Linked DNA regions of Sus scrofa. The protein of the gene in region 1 interacts with the protein of each later gene in a biochemical or structural test. Links are inferred from orthologs where the notes say so. Each region holds a gene or a part of one and is shown in the gene's direction. Other genes may lie near its edges.

The links.
Region 2: the proteins of XPO1 (region 1) and ABL1 interact in a test that uses a peptide from one of them, tested with the Homo sapiens proteins (2 studies listed by BioGRID). The link is inferred for Sus scrofa from reciprocal best matches to the Homo sapiens genes XPO1 and ABL1.
Region 3: the proteins of XPO1 (region 1) and RANBP3 form a complex in vitro, tested with the Homo sapiens proteins (2 studies listed by BioGRID). The link is inferred for Sus scrofa from reciprocal best matches to the Homo sapiens genes XPO1 and RANBP3.
Region 4: the proteins of XPO1 (region 1) and RANBP1 form a complex in vitro, tested with the Homo sapiens proteins (3 studies listed by BioGRID, with this or other methods). The link is inferred for Sus scrofa from reciprocal best matches to the Homo sapiens genes XPO1 and RANBP1.

The regions. Positions count from the first base shown.
Region 1 is NC_010445.4:80,253,809-80,257,824, forward strand, and holds the start of XPO1 (exportin-1), read left to right. Parts: upstream 1-1,207; 5' UTR 1,208-2,021; intron 2,022-4,016. UniProt on the Homo sapiens protein: Mediates the nuclear export of cellular proteins (cargos) bearing a leucine-rich nuclear export signal (NES) and of RNAs.
Region 2 is NC_010443.5:270,760,151-270,764,464, forward strand, and holds the start of ABL1 (tyrosine-protein kinase ABL1), read left to right. Parts: upstream 1-1,490; 5' UTR 1,491-1,623; intron 1,624-1,678; exon of another isoform or gene 1,679-2,097; intron 2,098-2,675; 5' UTR 2,676-2,998; coding exon 2,999-3,134; intron 3,135-4,314. UniProt on the Homo sapiens protein: Non-receptor tyrosine-protein kinase that plays a role in many key processes linked to cell growth and survival such as cytoskeleton remodeling in response to extracellular stimuli, cell motility and adhesion, receptor endocytosis, autophagy, DNA damage response and apoptosis.
Region 3 is NC_010444.4:73,100,953-73,104,512, forward strand, and holds part of RANBP3 (ran-binding protein 3), read left to right. Parts: intron 1-87; coding exon 88-124; intron 125-213; coding exon 214-300; intron 301-2,979; coding exon 2,980-3,051; intron 3,052-3,560. UniProt on the Homo sapiens protein: Acts as a cofactor for XPO1/CRM1-mediated nuclear export, perhaps as export complex scaffolding protein. Bound to XPO1/CRM1, stabilizes the XPO1/CRM1-cargo interaction. In the absence of Ran-bound GTP prevents binding of XPO1/CRM1 to the nuclear pore complex.
Region 4 is NC_010456.5:51,497,256-51,500,978, forward strand, and holds the end of RANBP1 (ran-specific GTPase-activating protein), read left to right. Parts: intron 1-122; coding exon 123-280; intron 281-1,550; coding exon 1,551-1,679; intron 1,680-2,207; coding exon 2,208-2,273; intron 2,274-2,754; coding exon 2,755-2,870; 3' UTR 2,871-3,165; downstream 3,166-3,723. UniProt on the Homo sapiens protein: Plays a role in RAN-dependent nucleocytoplasmic transport. Alleviates the TNPO1-dependent inhibition of RAN GTPase activity and mediates the dissociation of RAN from proteins involved in transport into the nucleus.

The DNA.
Region 1 (4,016 bases):
GCTGAAGAAAACTGTGATTTAATAAACCATTTATCAACCTCTTGGTGGCACAATGGGCCTACTAAATGTTGGTGGGCTGCTTGCTGTTTCTTCAGCAAAGAACAATCAGTAAAGCTTACTTGGAGGGCACTTGCGGACAAGAGAGACAACCATGTGAAGGGCCACGTGCGTGTGACTTTCATAGAAAATACTACTTGGTGATGATGAAATTTGTGAAGGGTAACTACCCGAAAGGAAAAAGCGAAGGTAAAGGAAGATCAAGGGCAGCTGGCACTCAAGCTTACCCAGCAAAAAGCACAGGATGTTAAACCAATTACAGGGATTACAGTGTCTTAATTTTTAGGAAGAATTGGTTGTTGAAGCAGCCAAATTCCAACCTGGGGAGACGGCGAGTTAAAATTTGAAGGAGACTTGCCCAAGAACTACTTAGGTAACTTTCCCACGTCTCGGAGAGGAGTAAGAGGCGCCAAGGGAGCGTGCCCCATACCTCACCCCAACCTCTCAACATCTCGGCCCCAAACCCGGTCTGGGGCCTACGACTGGCCTCCGTTGTGTTGTTTTCGCTCCTTTTTTCCACCCCGCCCCTCTCCGATTAAAAAAAAACTGGGTGTGCCCTAGTTTTTGCACAGCCCCCATCCGATGGGTGGGGGACAGGTCCCGACCACTGCGGGTTAAGGCCCTGCAGCTAGGCGGGAGCCGGCGGGGGCCGACCAACGCGAGTCCGGGAGTAGCCGAGCGGACGCAGGCGGCCGCGCGCCGCGCTTAAACTCGCGCCTCCACCAGCTCACGAGCTGCGCCCCACCCGCTTCGTCACCAAAGGCGCCCAGCCAATGAACGGGCCGGAAAGGCCGGGCCTGCGGGCTAAGCCCTGGGAGGGGGAGCGGAGGGAGGAGGACGGGAAGTTGAGGGCGGGCTATATTTGATTGACAGACCTCTCGAACCAATCTTCCGCGCGGCTTCTCTTCGCTCTCTACTCTGCTCTGCTTAGCTCTTCGTCCCACCTTCTCCTCTTCCACCCCCCCTCCTCGCTCCTTTGCGACCCGCCCCACTTCCCTTCCCCCACTCTGCGGGCAAATCGCTGCTGGAAAGAGGCGGGGGCCGAAGCGGCGGGCTCGTGTGGAGCCTAGAGCAGAGATTGATGGGCGATATGACCAATAGGAGGTAGGCTGATGGCGCGGCTATGGCTGGAAGCGGCCAATGGGCAAGCGGACTGGGGGCGGAGGCCCAGGTTCCAAACGCTCCGCGGCGCCATGGGCTGAAAACTCAACCGAGATGGAATCTCCCAGTCTGAACCGGTTTCAACCGGTTCCGAGTTTGAGGCACTAGGAGGAGGGGGAGAAGCGGCTGCAGCGGCCGCGGCAGGAGCAGCGGGAGCTACAGCATCAGCAAGAGCAACAGTAGCTACAGCCCCGGCGGCGGTGCCTGTTCCAGTCTTTGCTGCTGCAGTCCGTGCAACCACCCAGAGGGGGAGGGGGGAACCACCAGTCGCTGAGGAGCAAGAGAAGGGGGGAAAGTTTAGGCGAGCCTGGGTGGGGGGGGCCCAGCACCGGAGCCGCGTGAGAGAGGGAGCCGTATTTTGGTAGGGGGGAGTCGGACTGTAACTGGCAGCAGAGCGTCCCCCGACCGTGTGGACTCTACACCCCCTACTCCTGCCGCTCCTGCTGCCGCCTGTGGCTGGAGGGTCCCCCTGGGGCTGAATCTTTGGGACCTGACCCGGTTCCCCTCCCCCTTCCCTCACGCCCCAGCCAGGCGGGAGCATTTATTCCACATATTAATTCCCCTTCTTTTTTTGGGGGGGAGGGTGGGTGTGTGTGTCGGGGGGAGGTGTCCCTGAGATAGTAAATATTGAGCTTTTTTTTTTTTTTTTGCCCTTATCGCCTTCGTTTTTTTTTTAATTTCTTTTTTTAAGGTGGGGAAACTGTGAAACCCACCTTGATTTCCTCCCCTCTTCCCCCCCTCCCCATCTTCCCTCGCCCTAATCCCCCGACAAGGAAGGAAGAAGCAGTTGGTTCAATCTCTGGGTAAGTCGACTGTGTCTTCGGGGCCGAGGGTCGGGCGGCGGCGCGGCCGGGCGGGAGGAGGCTGGTGTGGGGCGCGGCGGCGGCCGCGGGAGACGAGCCGGGGAGGCGGCGGCGGGCCCACAGCACAGCCTGCGATTGAATGGAGCCGCTTCTGCCGCTGGGGGATGGAGGCGGGGAGGCGGCCGCGGGAGGGGAGCGCTTGCTTGGGTCATTCGCGTGTGCGGGTAGCGGTGGAGGAAGGCAAGGAGCGTGATAGTGAAGTGGGGCCCGGCGCGGGAGTGGAAGGGCTTCCCCAGCCCAAGGGGCCGGGGAGAAGTTAGGGTGATTTCAGGAACATCTCAGGAAATTATTAGGAGTGGAAGTTTCCAGAAATATTTAGTGCAGCAGCATTGAAACGTCCGCCTGCATCACGTGGCCCCTCGGTGGAGAGCTTGGGATCGCGGGAGGGAGGGGCTGATGCCTGCTCCTCCTGCAGGGAAACTCAGAATCTTTGGGTTTTTGCAAAGTAGGATTAAAAGTAGGGAAGGTTATTTGGTTTTTTTGGGGGGGGGGAATCTGCAGGTGAGGTTCCATGCTGTAGTTTTGCTTTCACGGACTTGAGTGTGTTAAGTGATCAAAACGTTTACTGCTGGCGCTGTACAGTGGACAATATCCTGATTCTGCTTCATTCCGATGTCTGAGTTTGGGGTGGGTGGAAGGAAGCGGTGTACTAGAGGAAGCATTAAAGATCTGCCCAGCACGGACCTCTGATCACGCAGAGGCCATGCTGCATTGAGAATGGGGCGGTGAACTTCAGGCGCCTGGTCTAAATGCCTCCTCCGAGTATGGGCGGGGTGAGTGCGTGCTCCAGTATGCTATAGTTAGAAGTGCTGCGGATCGGTTCGGGTGGGAAGAGAGGGGAGGGCGGGCCTTAGTGAGGTGTGTTTCTACTGAATGAAGCAGGCAATTGCCCACACACCTAAAGTAGCAGTCTTTCTCCTTGTAGCGACTTGTTTTTTGACCTACTATGTAGTTATCATTAAGCAACGGTTATGATTTTTTGGCTTTTGGATGGGAGCTGGCAGTGTGTAGCTGCCAGTTTGAAGTGGCTGTGAAGGTATTTTGGTAGTCACTTGTAGAGTCACCACATGGCTGGACAGTACCTTGTATTTGCTGTGCAGTGAGTGGAATTTAGCATTGAGTGTCCCAAGGAACGGAGAAAGCTTTTGTGGTTTCTTTCACCTCCCGCTTTGGCTGTTTTGCTATCTGCTTGATTGTGTATCTTAAGCGCGTTGGACACTGCTGTTGGTGGAAAGAATGTTTTGGAAGCTATTTAATTTGGGAGACTAAATGTGCTTGGCATTGACCAGAAAGCCGCCATTTCTGTACTACGTACAGTTTAAGACTAGGTAGGTCATTTCGAAGATAGGCGCTAGTTCTAAGGGTGGCATACCCTGCTGTATTTAACAGAAGCTTCTATTCTAAACCTGCTTTTTCACAGGATTTGTCTTGAACTCTGTAAAGACAATGTACTTGAAAATGAAACTTTTTATAGTTACTTTATTTTTTGTTTTGGCTATTACATTATGATAGGACTAAATAGGAGAAAAGTTCGTTCAGTTTTTAATTAACTCCCCCCCATAGAACATTTGATATGTAGATCTTGATTCTTCGTGGACATTGCTTTTCAGGCTCAATTTTTAAGATTGTTCTGATCCTTTAAAATTACATGACACTTGAAGGGGAGAGATTTAACGCTTTAATTTGTGAAATATATATTTCCTTTTTTGTATTAATATTTAGGTCAAAGATTATGTTAGGTAGTAACTGCTGGTAGAAATTTTTGAAATCTCATCAGTTTTGTTGTCAATGGATCAAAAAACTTGAATGAAAGTCCTTAAACTCTTAATTTCTCAATTTTTACATTATATCTTATATTTTATCTGATTGATCTTTCCGACTTTTACTTTGTCGTAACTGACATTATCATTAAGACATTCGAGTTGAAATTACTGC
Region 2 (4,314 bases), on another chromosome or scaffold:
TGTTGAAGTTTGAAGGATAAGTTGCAAACCAGGACCAAGTTCATCAGCCAGACTACTTTCTGACAGCAAAGCTAACCCAATCAACATCTGAAGGTAAACTCCAGTTCTAAAATTGGGCACACGTTTTCATAGGCTTCCTAATTCAGTACTTCCCAGTGACTTTTTTGAAGCCAATATCTATAAACTCATCAGCACCATTTCCCAATCCGGCAGAAATGTCTAAAATACACCATCCAATAATGGAAAGTACAGTGTCTGTACTATGACTATGGTGTCCCCCCACTAATAGTGCGACTTCTAAGAAGTCAATTGCCTAATGTCAGGTCAACAGTTATGGGAGTGGTACAACAAAAAAAACCAAAGGCTTTGGAGCAAGGTCAGTCTGGGCTCAAATAGTGACTCTTACAGAACGAGCCCACCATAAGTCACCTCATCTGTATATGGGGAATGATATTACATGCCTCGCTGTCTGCAGTGAGGATTAAATGAGCATCCAGTTTATGAAAAGCGTAATAGGCCTAGTATAGACCCGTGTTGTGATGAGTGGATCCTTTAGAAATGGGTATATCCTGGTCTGGTAGGTGCACTGCTCTGGGGAGACATGGGGAGTGGTGAATTGGGGGTTAGGGTACATTTTAGTTGCATATTTAAATGGGTTATGGCAGGTGTGGATTTGGTGTGTCTGGGTCACTGGCTAGCTCTGCAGGCCTACTAAACAATCTCGACTAAGAGGTTTTCATGTGAATACCTGTACATCTCTGAACTGTTTAACCCCTCCCCTTTTATTCCCCCAGTTTTATTGAGAAAAAATTAACACACGTCACTGTATGAGTTTAAGTTCAAAGTTTCCTGCTCACCCAAACGTCTATGATTGTGCCTGGCTTAGCCTCCGAAAGGCTCTTAACAAATGCTGTTTCTTTAGAATGAGCCTCCTGATATTCCGAAGAAATAATTCGTTAGCAGTCTGTCGGATGCTTTCCAGTTGTTTATTTTTCGCTGGTACTAATATTTATGTTTCTTGGAGAAAAGGTGGGAATGGAGGCGGGGGGTGGAGCGGTGAAGGCACCAAATACCTTGGTTTCCAGGAGCGAGCTAAATTTTCTCAAAGAGGCTCAAGGAAGTGATCCAACTCCGGTTCTGGGAAAATCCAATCCGCAGTTTTCTCCTTGCTTTGGTTTCTCGCCGGTCTACTAACAGCTCAGGGGAGACATTGGCCAGCCCTACGCGAAGCCGGCTAGAGTTCACCGGCTCCCAGGAGGGCGGGACGAAGCTCAGGAGCGGGAGCAGAGGGCAAGCCTCGGGTGAGCACCGACAGGGGCGGGCGCCGCAGGACCACAACTCCCGCCACGCCTTGCGAGCTGCGCCGAAGGTGGTTGGCTAGAAGCTCTACCCCACTGTCCCTACTGGCCAATGGGATGCAGGAGAGAGCCCTGACCCGGATTCTCGCGAACCAAAGGCAGTACAGGGGAGGCGGGAGCTTCCTTACCACTCGCCTTGCTCTCGGGAAAAAACCACATTTTAACAGGTCCTGCAGGACCCGGCCCTCGCGGGCAAGGAGGCTGGAGCCGAAAGGCGCTGCGGCGTACCCGAAAGCGGCGCCGAGAGGGTCCGGGTCCCCGCGAGGTGCGCACGGGACGTCACCGGGGGCGGGGCCAGGGGCGGGGCCTGGCCTCGTTGTGGAGCTGCTCGTAATCCATCATGGCGGCCACGGGGGTCGGTGACCGTCCCTGAGCAGCGCTGGAGCCGGAGCCGGTTCCCGGGTCCCGCGGTTGAGGAGCCCTTCCGTTGCCCACGGCCCTAACCTGCTGGGGGAGGTTGGGTCCCGCGGCGGAGCTCGGGGGATGTGACCGCCTGACGGCGGCGGCCGTAGCAACGTCCGGGGCCGGGGGAGGGGGTGTCTCTGGCAGAGACCCCCCCCAGGTTAGGGGCAGCTGAGGCGGCCGGGCCTACCCCCCTCCGCCCGCTTCCCGCCCTCGGAGCCTCGGGAGTCCTTCGCCCCTTCCAGCCCAGCCCCGACTCTGGGACCCTGAGGGTGGTCTCTTTCCCCAGACCTGGGACACCCCGATTCCTGAGGCGTGGAGGAGCGTCGCTCCCGAAGTAAGCCGCCCGCGCCCCGCCCTGGCAGCCTCCCTCTTACCCCCGAGCCGCCCCTTGCTCCTGCCTCCTGGGTTCAAGTGTGGCCTCGGAGCCCCCATTCAAATCCCCTTCCTGCTGTCAAGTGGCCTCCCCTTGCCCCCAGGTTGCTCCCGTGAGCCTCTAATGCCCTGACTTCTTCCAATGTCACCTACGGCCCCCTTAGTCTCAGCCCAGCCAGAAACTTTAATGCAAAGGAAAAGCCTGGACTGGTTTCACAGGCCTTTTAAAAAGCGGACTTAAAAGTTGCTGGCAATGCATTCCTTCTCGTCAGAGTCGAGGGCCAGCTCTCTCTGAAGGCCGGGTGACCCGTGTCCTTTTCCGGAGAGCAGGGTAGAGAAGCAGGCGAGGAGCGGCAGCTAGTGCGGCAGGAAATCTGCCGCGGAAGATGAAGACACCGAGATAGGGGGTGGGTGACTTCCCCAGGAAAAGTTCTGGAGGCGCATCCAAAGACAAGCAACATTTCCTTGATGTGTGGGAATCGAAATGACTTGAGCCTTACTGACCGTCTTACAGCATCCCCTGTGAATATTTCTGTTTAGGTTTTTCTCCTTGAAAGGGAAGAAGCTGTTACTCAGCCAGTAAAGGACACAAAATCAAGCAGCTTGGGTCCCATTGCCCTGATATGACTTCAAGTTGATCAACTGCGAAAATAATCGGAACTCCTGTTTACATATTGTCAACCTGAAATCTTCGCTTCCTTTCCTTATGGGAGAAGATGCCTTGTTGTGACTGACCTCAGTGACTGACTTGTGGCGATGCAGTGAATGTGAAATCCCACATACATACTGTTTTCCTTCTAGCTCACTGCCCATTCTGAAAGATCTTGAACCCTCTTCCGGAAAGGGGTGCCTACTGTTACTTTATGGGGCAGCAGCCTGGAAAAGTTCTTGGGGACCAAAGACGGCCAAGTTTGCCTGCCCTGCACTTTATCAAAGGCGCAGGGAAGAAGGACTCCTCGAGACACGGGGGCCCACACTGCAATGTTTTTGTGGAACATGGTGAGTGCCTTGCAAGCTTTCTGGTCCTGTTTTCAGCTTAGGCATTTTTGAACCACAGCACTCGCGTGGGTTCCTTTAGGTTCTACTTAAAACTTCTGTTGCTGTAGTTAGCTCTTGGTTTCTGTTGGAACTTTCTTTGTATAAGAAAACGTTACTTGGTGACACTGGTTGGCTTGCTTCAAAATCTCTGAGTTGCTTACTTCTTGCCTGATTCCATTTCTAACTCACCGTTGACCTTGGACAAGCCATTTTCCTATTCCAGGTTCCTGGGGAGGTTGGACTTAAGTCATTTCTCAGGATCCAGAGTCCATGATTCGGCTCTGACCTAAGGCGTGAGCCCTTCCTTCCCCTGAGGCGTGTGGATCCTTTACAACTTTATCTACAGAGAACTGTTCTCCTGTCCACGGAGGGGTTGGTGCTCCCCGCAAAGTTAAAAACCACAAGTCCTAGTTGACAGTAATGTCCTTGGCCCTTTTGATCATAAGTAGAACTTGAAAATTCTTGGGAGCTGTGTGGAAACAGTCAAGGGGGAGCAGCATTCCGCGTGCATCGAGGATCCCCAGCTTCCAGTCGCTTCTCCTTACACAAGGAGTAACCCTGTCCCCGTGGGTGGGACTTTTCCCTCTGCTCCCTGTTTCAGATGACACTTGGGGCAAGAAAGGTTGTCTGTGGCACTTTCGTGAACACCGTTGGCATTTGAGTGCTGACAGTACATGTTATACTGGTCAAGTCCAGTAATTCTGCACAAAGCTTTAAAGCTGAGGGTCAGCTTAGAGTGATGTCTGTGACAGGACCAGCGGTGCCCCAATTAATTAGTGTCCTTTCTGTGCCGTTGCAGCCTGGCATTTTTCAGAATGTGTACTTTATATTAAAATGTCAATTGAGCCCACTCTCTCTATAAGCAAATCTGAGATGTGCGCAAGTCGCATGTGCTTTGAAATTCAATAATGTCCTTCACAATGAATCATTGCAATAAACAGTTCTCCATTCAGTGAACTTGCATTTGACAGTTGAGGTTTGATTTTCTTAAATAATCTGGGTACTTGGGTTTTACTTTGCCTTGAAACATTAGTTATATTTTAGTTGGTTTTAGACAAATTTAGTAATATGTTAGGGTGCTTCCCAAATTCAGAGTTTATAAGGTGAAGTTGTTTTTTTTGGGGGGCTGTGACTGCAGCAG
Region 3 (3,560 bases), on another chromosome or scaffold:
TGCATTTTGGGATCCGTTCGTGGCAGAACTCAGGGCCCTGGGCAGCTCAGCCCTCTCTGACTACCCTGACATGTGTTCTCGTTCCAGAGGTCAGCCGGAGGCTCCAGCCCCGAAGGTGGAGAAGGTGAGGACATCTCTCAAATGTTTCACCATCTTTGGTTGTAAAAGTAGAAGCAGCCTGATTTTTCTCCCCTTCTTCCTTATTTTCTGTAGATTCCGACCGAGAAGATGGAAATTACTGCCCTCCTGTCAAACGAGAAAGAACGTCCTCTTTAACACAGTTCCCACCTTCACAGTCAGGTAATGGTTGCAGACCTTTATTGGATGGTAAAAGCATCCATGTGTGTAAGCCCGCTGCTCCCCTCCAGCGTCTCACACCCCTGGTCTGTTCCGCATGCACATCTGGTTAGAATCAACCCGAGGCCCAGTCTCTGTCAGGAGTGAGGTTAGAGTGTTCTTGCGTGTAGCACAGGTGCCCCTGTCTGGAATCAGTGACACTTACAGAGGATTGGGAACTAGTGGAATAATTAATTAGGAAGGCCCATGAAGTCAGCCCTGGAAAAGGACCGTCAGGGCTCTTTACGCATTCACCTTGCACAAACTGCCAGCTGGCTATGTCTGTAAACTGAAGCTGTGGGAAGCGGGGTGTCGTCCTGACCCTTTAGTCATGTGCCTAGAGCTTGGTGGTCCACTTGAGAAGCCCAGACACACACACACACACACACACACACACACACACACAGTGAGCCAAGTGGCCGTAGCAGACACTTTGGCGGTGGAATGTTGTGAGCTCCCAAAGGGGAGGGGATCTTAGGGAAGCCTGGAAGGGTTGGCCAGACCAGGATCCCATCCCTGTGGAGTGGTTGTGCCCAAGGGCTTGGAAGCTGGAGGCTGAAGGAAAAGTCTGCACAAACGCAGAGGCCAGCAGATCAGCTGGTGTACAAAGGCTGGTGCAAGAAAGAGATGGGTTCCCAGGGTAGATGCCGGGCTCCTTAGTGGGAGGCTCTGCAGGCCTGGGCACGCCCCAGTGCTTTGGAGGGTAAAAGCTGCAGCAGGGCTTGGCGCACCCCTGCCCCTACTGTGTCCTGGCTTGGTCCACTCTGGAATCATTCCATGCTCTCTGCTGCCTTAGAGACTCTCTCCAACTCCCCAGCTTGAAGTTCATTCTTGGGAATTCATGTAAAACATTTACAACTGTGAGCCTTAAGGGTATCCACTTGAAGGGAGAAAAGACATTCCTGTAAGCTTTGTTTCTACTTAGAGTAATGCAGGAGTTCCTGGTGTGGCTCAGCAGTAACGAACCCGACTAGTATCCATGAGGATGCGGGTTCAATCCCTGGCCTCACTCAGTGAGTTAAGGATCTGGTGTTGCCGAGAGCTGCAGTGTAGGCTCAGATCCTGCATTGCTGTGGCTGTGGTGTAGGCCAGCAGCTGTAGCTCCGATTTGACCCCTAGCCTGGGAACCTCCATATGCCCTAAAAAGCAAAAAAAAGAATCCAACTGCAGTGGCTGGGGTCACTGCAAGGGGTGCAGGTTCGATCCACAGCTCAATGTAGTGGGTTAAAGGATCCCGCATTGCACCTGTGGCATAGGTCACCACTGTGGCTCAGATTCAATCCCTGGCCCAGGAACCTCCATATGCTGCGGGTGCAACCATAAAATTTTTAAAAAGAAAAAGAAAAAAAAGAGCAATGCACACATCACAGGAGTGTACATGGTAGAGAGTGAATGTCCTTTTAAGATCATCCCTGTGACACACTTGGTTTTATACCTGTTCCCCTGAACACTGACTTTGGACATTGACATGTCCTTTTTCCACACTGTGGGAGACTCCTCTTGAATAGAGGCACTGTCTTTCACCTACCAGGCTTTGGGAAGCTGTCTAGACGATTTGCAGTCCAGGCTGTGGTTGACATCCTGGTTTTTTTTGGTTTTTTTTTTTTTTTGTCTTTTTGCCATTTTTCTTGGGCTGCTCCCGTGGCATATGGAGGTTCCCAGGCTAGGGGTTGAATCAGAGCTGTAGCCACTGGCCTACGCCAGAGCCACAGCAACGCAGGATCTGAGCCGCATCTGCAACCTACACTACAGCTCATGGCAACGCTGGATCGTTAACCCACTGAGCAAGGGCAGGGACCGAACCCGCAACCTCATGGTTCCTAGTCGGATTCGTTAACCACTGCGCCACGACGGGAACTCCTGACATCCTGTTTTTAAGGATCTCTGCACGCCTGTTACATGGCCCTAACTATAGAAGGGAACTTGTGCTCCCTAGCCATTGATTGTGTTCCTTCCCATCCTCCACCCACTGCTGAACTACACTTTCTGCAGTGGGGGAGAAAGGAGGTGATTTGTGCTGTGGTCCCAGGCCGAAGGGGCAGAGGACCACTAGACATTGTCCTTCTCCTTTCATGCATCACCACCCAGGAGCTGCTTAGCCCTCAGCCATTAGGGAAGTGGAGAGACAGCAGTGCCTCTGAGCCCACTTAGCTGCCCTCTGTCAGCACAGTTAGTTCTTCAGCCCTGCTACACTATTGCTTGGTCTGCTCCCAGGAAGCAGTTGATATTGTGGAGTAAGATCCTGGATAGGTGAGGGGAGGCAGATTGCAGCTGAGTATGACAAGGAGCAGGGTCTGAGATTCAGCCCCAGGGGAGACTCAGAACATCTGGGGCGTCCATTTCCCTCCTGACTGCCTCTTCAGGGGCATGAGGACAAGGCAGGTGGCCATGGAGGACCAGAGCCGACTGCTCAGTGTCAGTTTAAGCCTGCTCTGACCCACTTTTGCCGTAGAAAGAGTCCCTGGGTCACTTTTATTGGGAGTGGCTAAAGGCCGGAGCCTTAATGCTGACTCCCTCCCCCTAACAGTGGGGGCCTGGAGATGAGCCCTCAGGTGAGGGAAGTGATCCCTTGCACATCTGCCCCACCTACTCACACTGTTTTTCCTCTTGTTCCCTCCCCTGCCTGCACCTCTTTGTCGACAGTATCAAAAAACAATGTTTTTATGCCATCAACCTTCTGCGAGCCATCTGCAGGCAATTCTGACTCAGAACCAGGTGAGCCCTCACATCCCCTTGCCTTTGACAGCTAGCCACTGGGGGTTTCCTGGGATGAAAAGCAGTTGATGTTATAAAGTAAGATCTTCAATGGGAATGGGCAGTTTGAAATCAGTAGTCTTTTTCAGTTCCTAAATGTTTCCCAACTTTTCAACTCGTAGACTTGGAATCCAGTGTGAGATGGTTTCATAAGCCCTTCTGTTTCTGCTAGCAGGACCTGGTTACAAGGAATTTCAAGTCCTTTTTTTAAAAGTGTTTAAAATCAAAAAAAAAAAAAAAATCTATAATGGGGCATACTACTCGTTTTTCAAACTTTTACACCGTTAACACACTTGTATCATTAGAAAATTGGAAATACATCGAGTAAAAGAATCCGCCTGCCCCTTTCCCATTCACTCTACCACCCCAAAGGTAAACTACTCTGAAGTTTCTGTAATTTTCCAGACTCCTCTGTGTATTCTCAACATTAATTAATATTACTTAGATCTGTTTAGATAAATACATTTAGT
Region 4 (3,723 bases), on another chromosome or scaffold:
ATTCTCTGGTGACGTCTTGACTTGTGGTTCTTGGAGTGCAAGGAAAGGAGGGCCATTTGGCAGGGCCTCCTCTGTCCCCTCCTGTGCTTGGCTAACCTTTTGCTCCACGGATCCCCTTGAAGGCGGGCAAAGCTCTTCCGGTTTGCTTCAGAGAACGACCTCCCAGAGTGGAAGGAGCGAGGCACTGGGGACGTCAAGCTTCTGAAGCACAAGGAGAAGGGGACCATCCGCCTCCTCATGCGAAGGGACAAGACACTCAAGATCTGCGCCAATCACTACAGTAGGTGCCTGGGCCAGCGCTCCACAGACCTCCCGGTGAATGTAGACTAGTGGGCGTCAGTCCTGGGCCCAGAGTGGGGATCCCGGGAGAGTCACCTGAGGCCCGGCCGGCGAAGCGGTAATGGCAGGCTCCCCACTGCGTTGGCCTCGGATTGCTGGGCTGCTGAGTGTTCAGGGGATGCGTATCCTGGGCTGTGTCTGCATTGAGGGCGTGTGTCCGGTGGGGCAGGGCCTCTTGTGTGGACGCCCAGGAGCCAGAGGGAAGGTCCTGGTGGGAAGCACAACAGCCTTTGTATGCCAGTCACTGCGTCCCAGCCTGAGTGGCTTCCTCAGGAGCTGCCCCAGCGGCCCCGCCCAGCCTTTCTGCCCTGGACCAGCCTGCAACTTCCAGCTGGATGTGAAGTGCTTCCCCAGGGGTTTTCACTGCCACTGCTTTTCCCAGAGCCCTATGTCACTGGGTTGTTTCTGTGAGCTGCAGAGGGGGTCCGGAACCTGGGGCACAGCACAGCCCTCCTGGGCAGGTGGTGACAAGAAAGGTGCCTCTGGGTGTCCTGTGAACAGGTGGGCTCAGTAGTATCGGGCTGGGCATGTCCCGTGTCTTGGAGGTTTCCTAGAGATCTTTTCCCCCTTGGGTCTGAGAGGGACCCAAGGAGATGGGAGCCAAGTTTGTTCCTGGCTATAGCTCTGTCTTCTATGAGGTACAGGCATGTCACAAGGCTTTTGCTATCCACTTTTGATGGTCTTGTTCCTTGTGGTGTTCCTGGACCATGTGAGGCTGAGAGTCGTTGCCCTGATTTGATCATGTGCCCTCCTGGGTGGTTAGCCTACCTCCTAGCTTCTGTCTTTCTGCTGTGCTCCACCTTCTGTGGACCAGGTCTCTGTGGGCATAGCCAAGCGTGGACAAAGCCTTAGGGGGCGGGGGCGGCAACGGCAGGGCCTGCTAGGCCATGTGGTCCATGCCTGCCCTGGGTGGGGGCTGCTCAGGCAGGGGCCAGGCATGAGCAGACATGCTGGCATCGGAACGTTAGGCTGAGATGGGGTTTGAGACCCTCGTTGGGGTATCTTTGTGGTGGGGACTGGGGTCCCTGTTCCTAGACTTTAAGTGAACACGGGATGTTTTCAAAGAGTCATGGTTTGTAAAACTCAGATCCCAAAGGACTTAATCAAGTCCTGCTTGGTGAACCTCAAGCCAGGCCTGTTTTGTCTGCAGTGGGTGGGAAGGGTGGGCTGGCTTGGCAGCCACACCGTCCTCACGGTGCTTCTCCCTCCAGTCACGCCGATGATGGAGCTGAAACCGAACGCAGGCAGTGACCGTGCCTGGGTCTGGAACACCCACGCTGACTTCGCCGACGAGTGCCCCAAGCAGGAGCTGCTGGCCATTCGCTTCCTTAACGCCGAGAGTAAGTCTCAGGCCAGCCTGACCACCAGTGCCCTTGGTTTCCAGGGAGACTTGACAGCAGCTGGGAAGCATGCGGTGGGGTCTGGTTCTGCCCTGCTGTCTGGTGGGCTCAGGGAATGGAGCTAAATGCCTGTAGGCTGTGCCCAGGGAAGGTGTGTCCTCTCACCATCGCCTGGGTGCCAGCAAGGGCTCTGCCCATGCTGATCTCTCCCCCTGCTGGGCATCCTCCCAGCCTGGGTTGCCTACCCAACCCAGGCGGTCCTGCAGGAGTTGGGTGGGTGCCGGGATTCAGCACCCCAGGAGCTGACGATCTGGTGCTGAGTGGACCTTGCCTCTGCTTTGGGAGTGGCCTGCCCAGTGGCTGCTTCCAGTCCAGGTGGAGAGCAGAGCACGTGGTGAAGTGAGGCTGCCCACCTCTGCCCAGACTGGTGTGCAGTCAGGCAAGGAGGTGGCTGGCTCTCCTGAGGTCATCGTGGCCTGGGACTCGCTGCTCAGGGATCTTAATGGGCATTCTTTTGTATCTTTGCAGACGCACAGAAGTTCAAAACGAAGTTTGAAGAATGCAGAAAAGAAATTGAAGAGAGAGAAAAGAAAGGTGCTGGGTGCTAGTGGAGCTGGGGAGTTTTTAGGGTAGGGTTGCCTATGGGGGGACTCTGCAGACTCGCTCTGCTCCCGGCCGCAGCCCCGGGCGGGTGCTTTTTCTGTCTGCCACAGGAACATCCCGGGGCGCTGTGACCACTTTGACCTGTCAAGGGCAAGGCAGCTGCCCCGGTACATGGTGTGCTTTCTTGGGGGTGAACTGCCAGTCAGGGCCCAAATATGTGCTCTCTGGCCTGGCCTCCCGGCACTCAGCCTAACTGCCAAATCACAGTGTCTGTTGGAGTTCCCCAGGGCAGTAGGGGCTTCTCAGAGGTCCTTGTGGTAATCTACTTGCTTGGGGTCCAGGTGGGAGGACGTGTTTACCTGTGACCCTGGAGGCACATGGAAGGGCAGCCAGTCCCTGGAGCGTGCACAGCTGCAGCGGGGCTGGGCAGAGCAATGCTGCTGCTTCTTACTGCATCCCTGTGCCTTGGCAGGATCTGGCAAAAACGATAGTGCTGAGAAAGTGGCCGAGAAGCTAGAAGCACTCTCGGTGAAGGCGGGCACGGAGCCGCAGGACGAGGCCAAGCAGCCGGCCGAGGAGGAGCAATGAGTCGGCTCCCACGTCCCTTTCTCCCTGTCTTTTCCCTCTTTTCTTTTTTTAAATTTTGCCCTGCCCCTCTTCCGTTTGTTTTTATTCTGTTTTGTTTTTACAAGGGACTTTATATAAAAGAACTGACTTCCGACATTCAGGTTGTTTTTTTTTCTCAGTTATTGCCCTATTGAAGATGACTTCAGAGAACCCCTTCCCCAGTCATGAGAATGTACTCTGCTAACTTTCTTTTCCACAGTGGAAACACTTATTTATAGTCATCAAAATAGTGAATAAATAACACATTTGAAACCTGCATGGAGGCAGGACCGTGTGTGCGCCGGCCCTGTCCTGGGACAGTGGGTTCCTCCATCTCTGCCGTCACACTCCCCCTGCCGTGGCCACTGGGCTGAGGTGGGCAGATGGCCAGGGGAGTGGTGCCGTCCTCTGGCTGCCTTAACAGCCCTGTTCTGCCCTGTGCCTGGGAGCAGGCAGCCTCTTTCTTGGCCTTGGGGGAAGGAAAAGAATCCCACCAGATCCCTTGGCTGTGGCTTCAGGAGGCCATGTGTGTCTCCGGTCTTTGGCCGGGCCACCTTTGGTTGGCCCTCAGCCCCATGGCCACCCTCCGAGAAGACCTGTCTGCTCATGCCTAGCTCTCTGCGTGGCTGGAATTGAGGGTGCCTGCAGTGCCTTTTAGGAGGGCGTTTTCAGGAACACAGATGGTTAGAGCCAATTGGGGCTCATCTTGTAAGGCAGTTCTAAGCAAGGGAGAAGTCTCCACACACACGGGCACTTCTGGGGTGGCCTGTGTCCCAGGAGGCCCCTCAGGCTGTGAGGCACAGGGCAGGACCTGACCCTGGAGGGAGCACGCCCC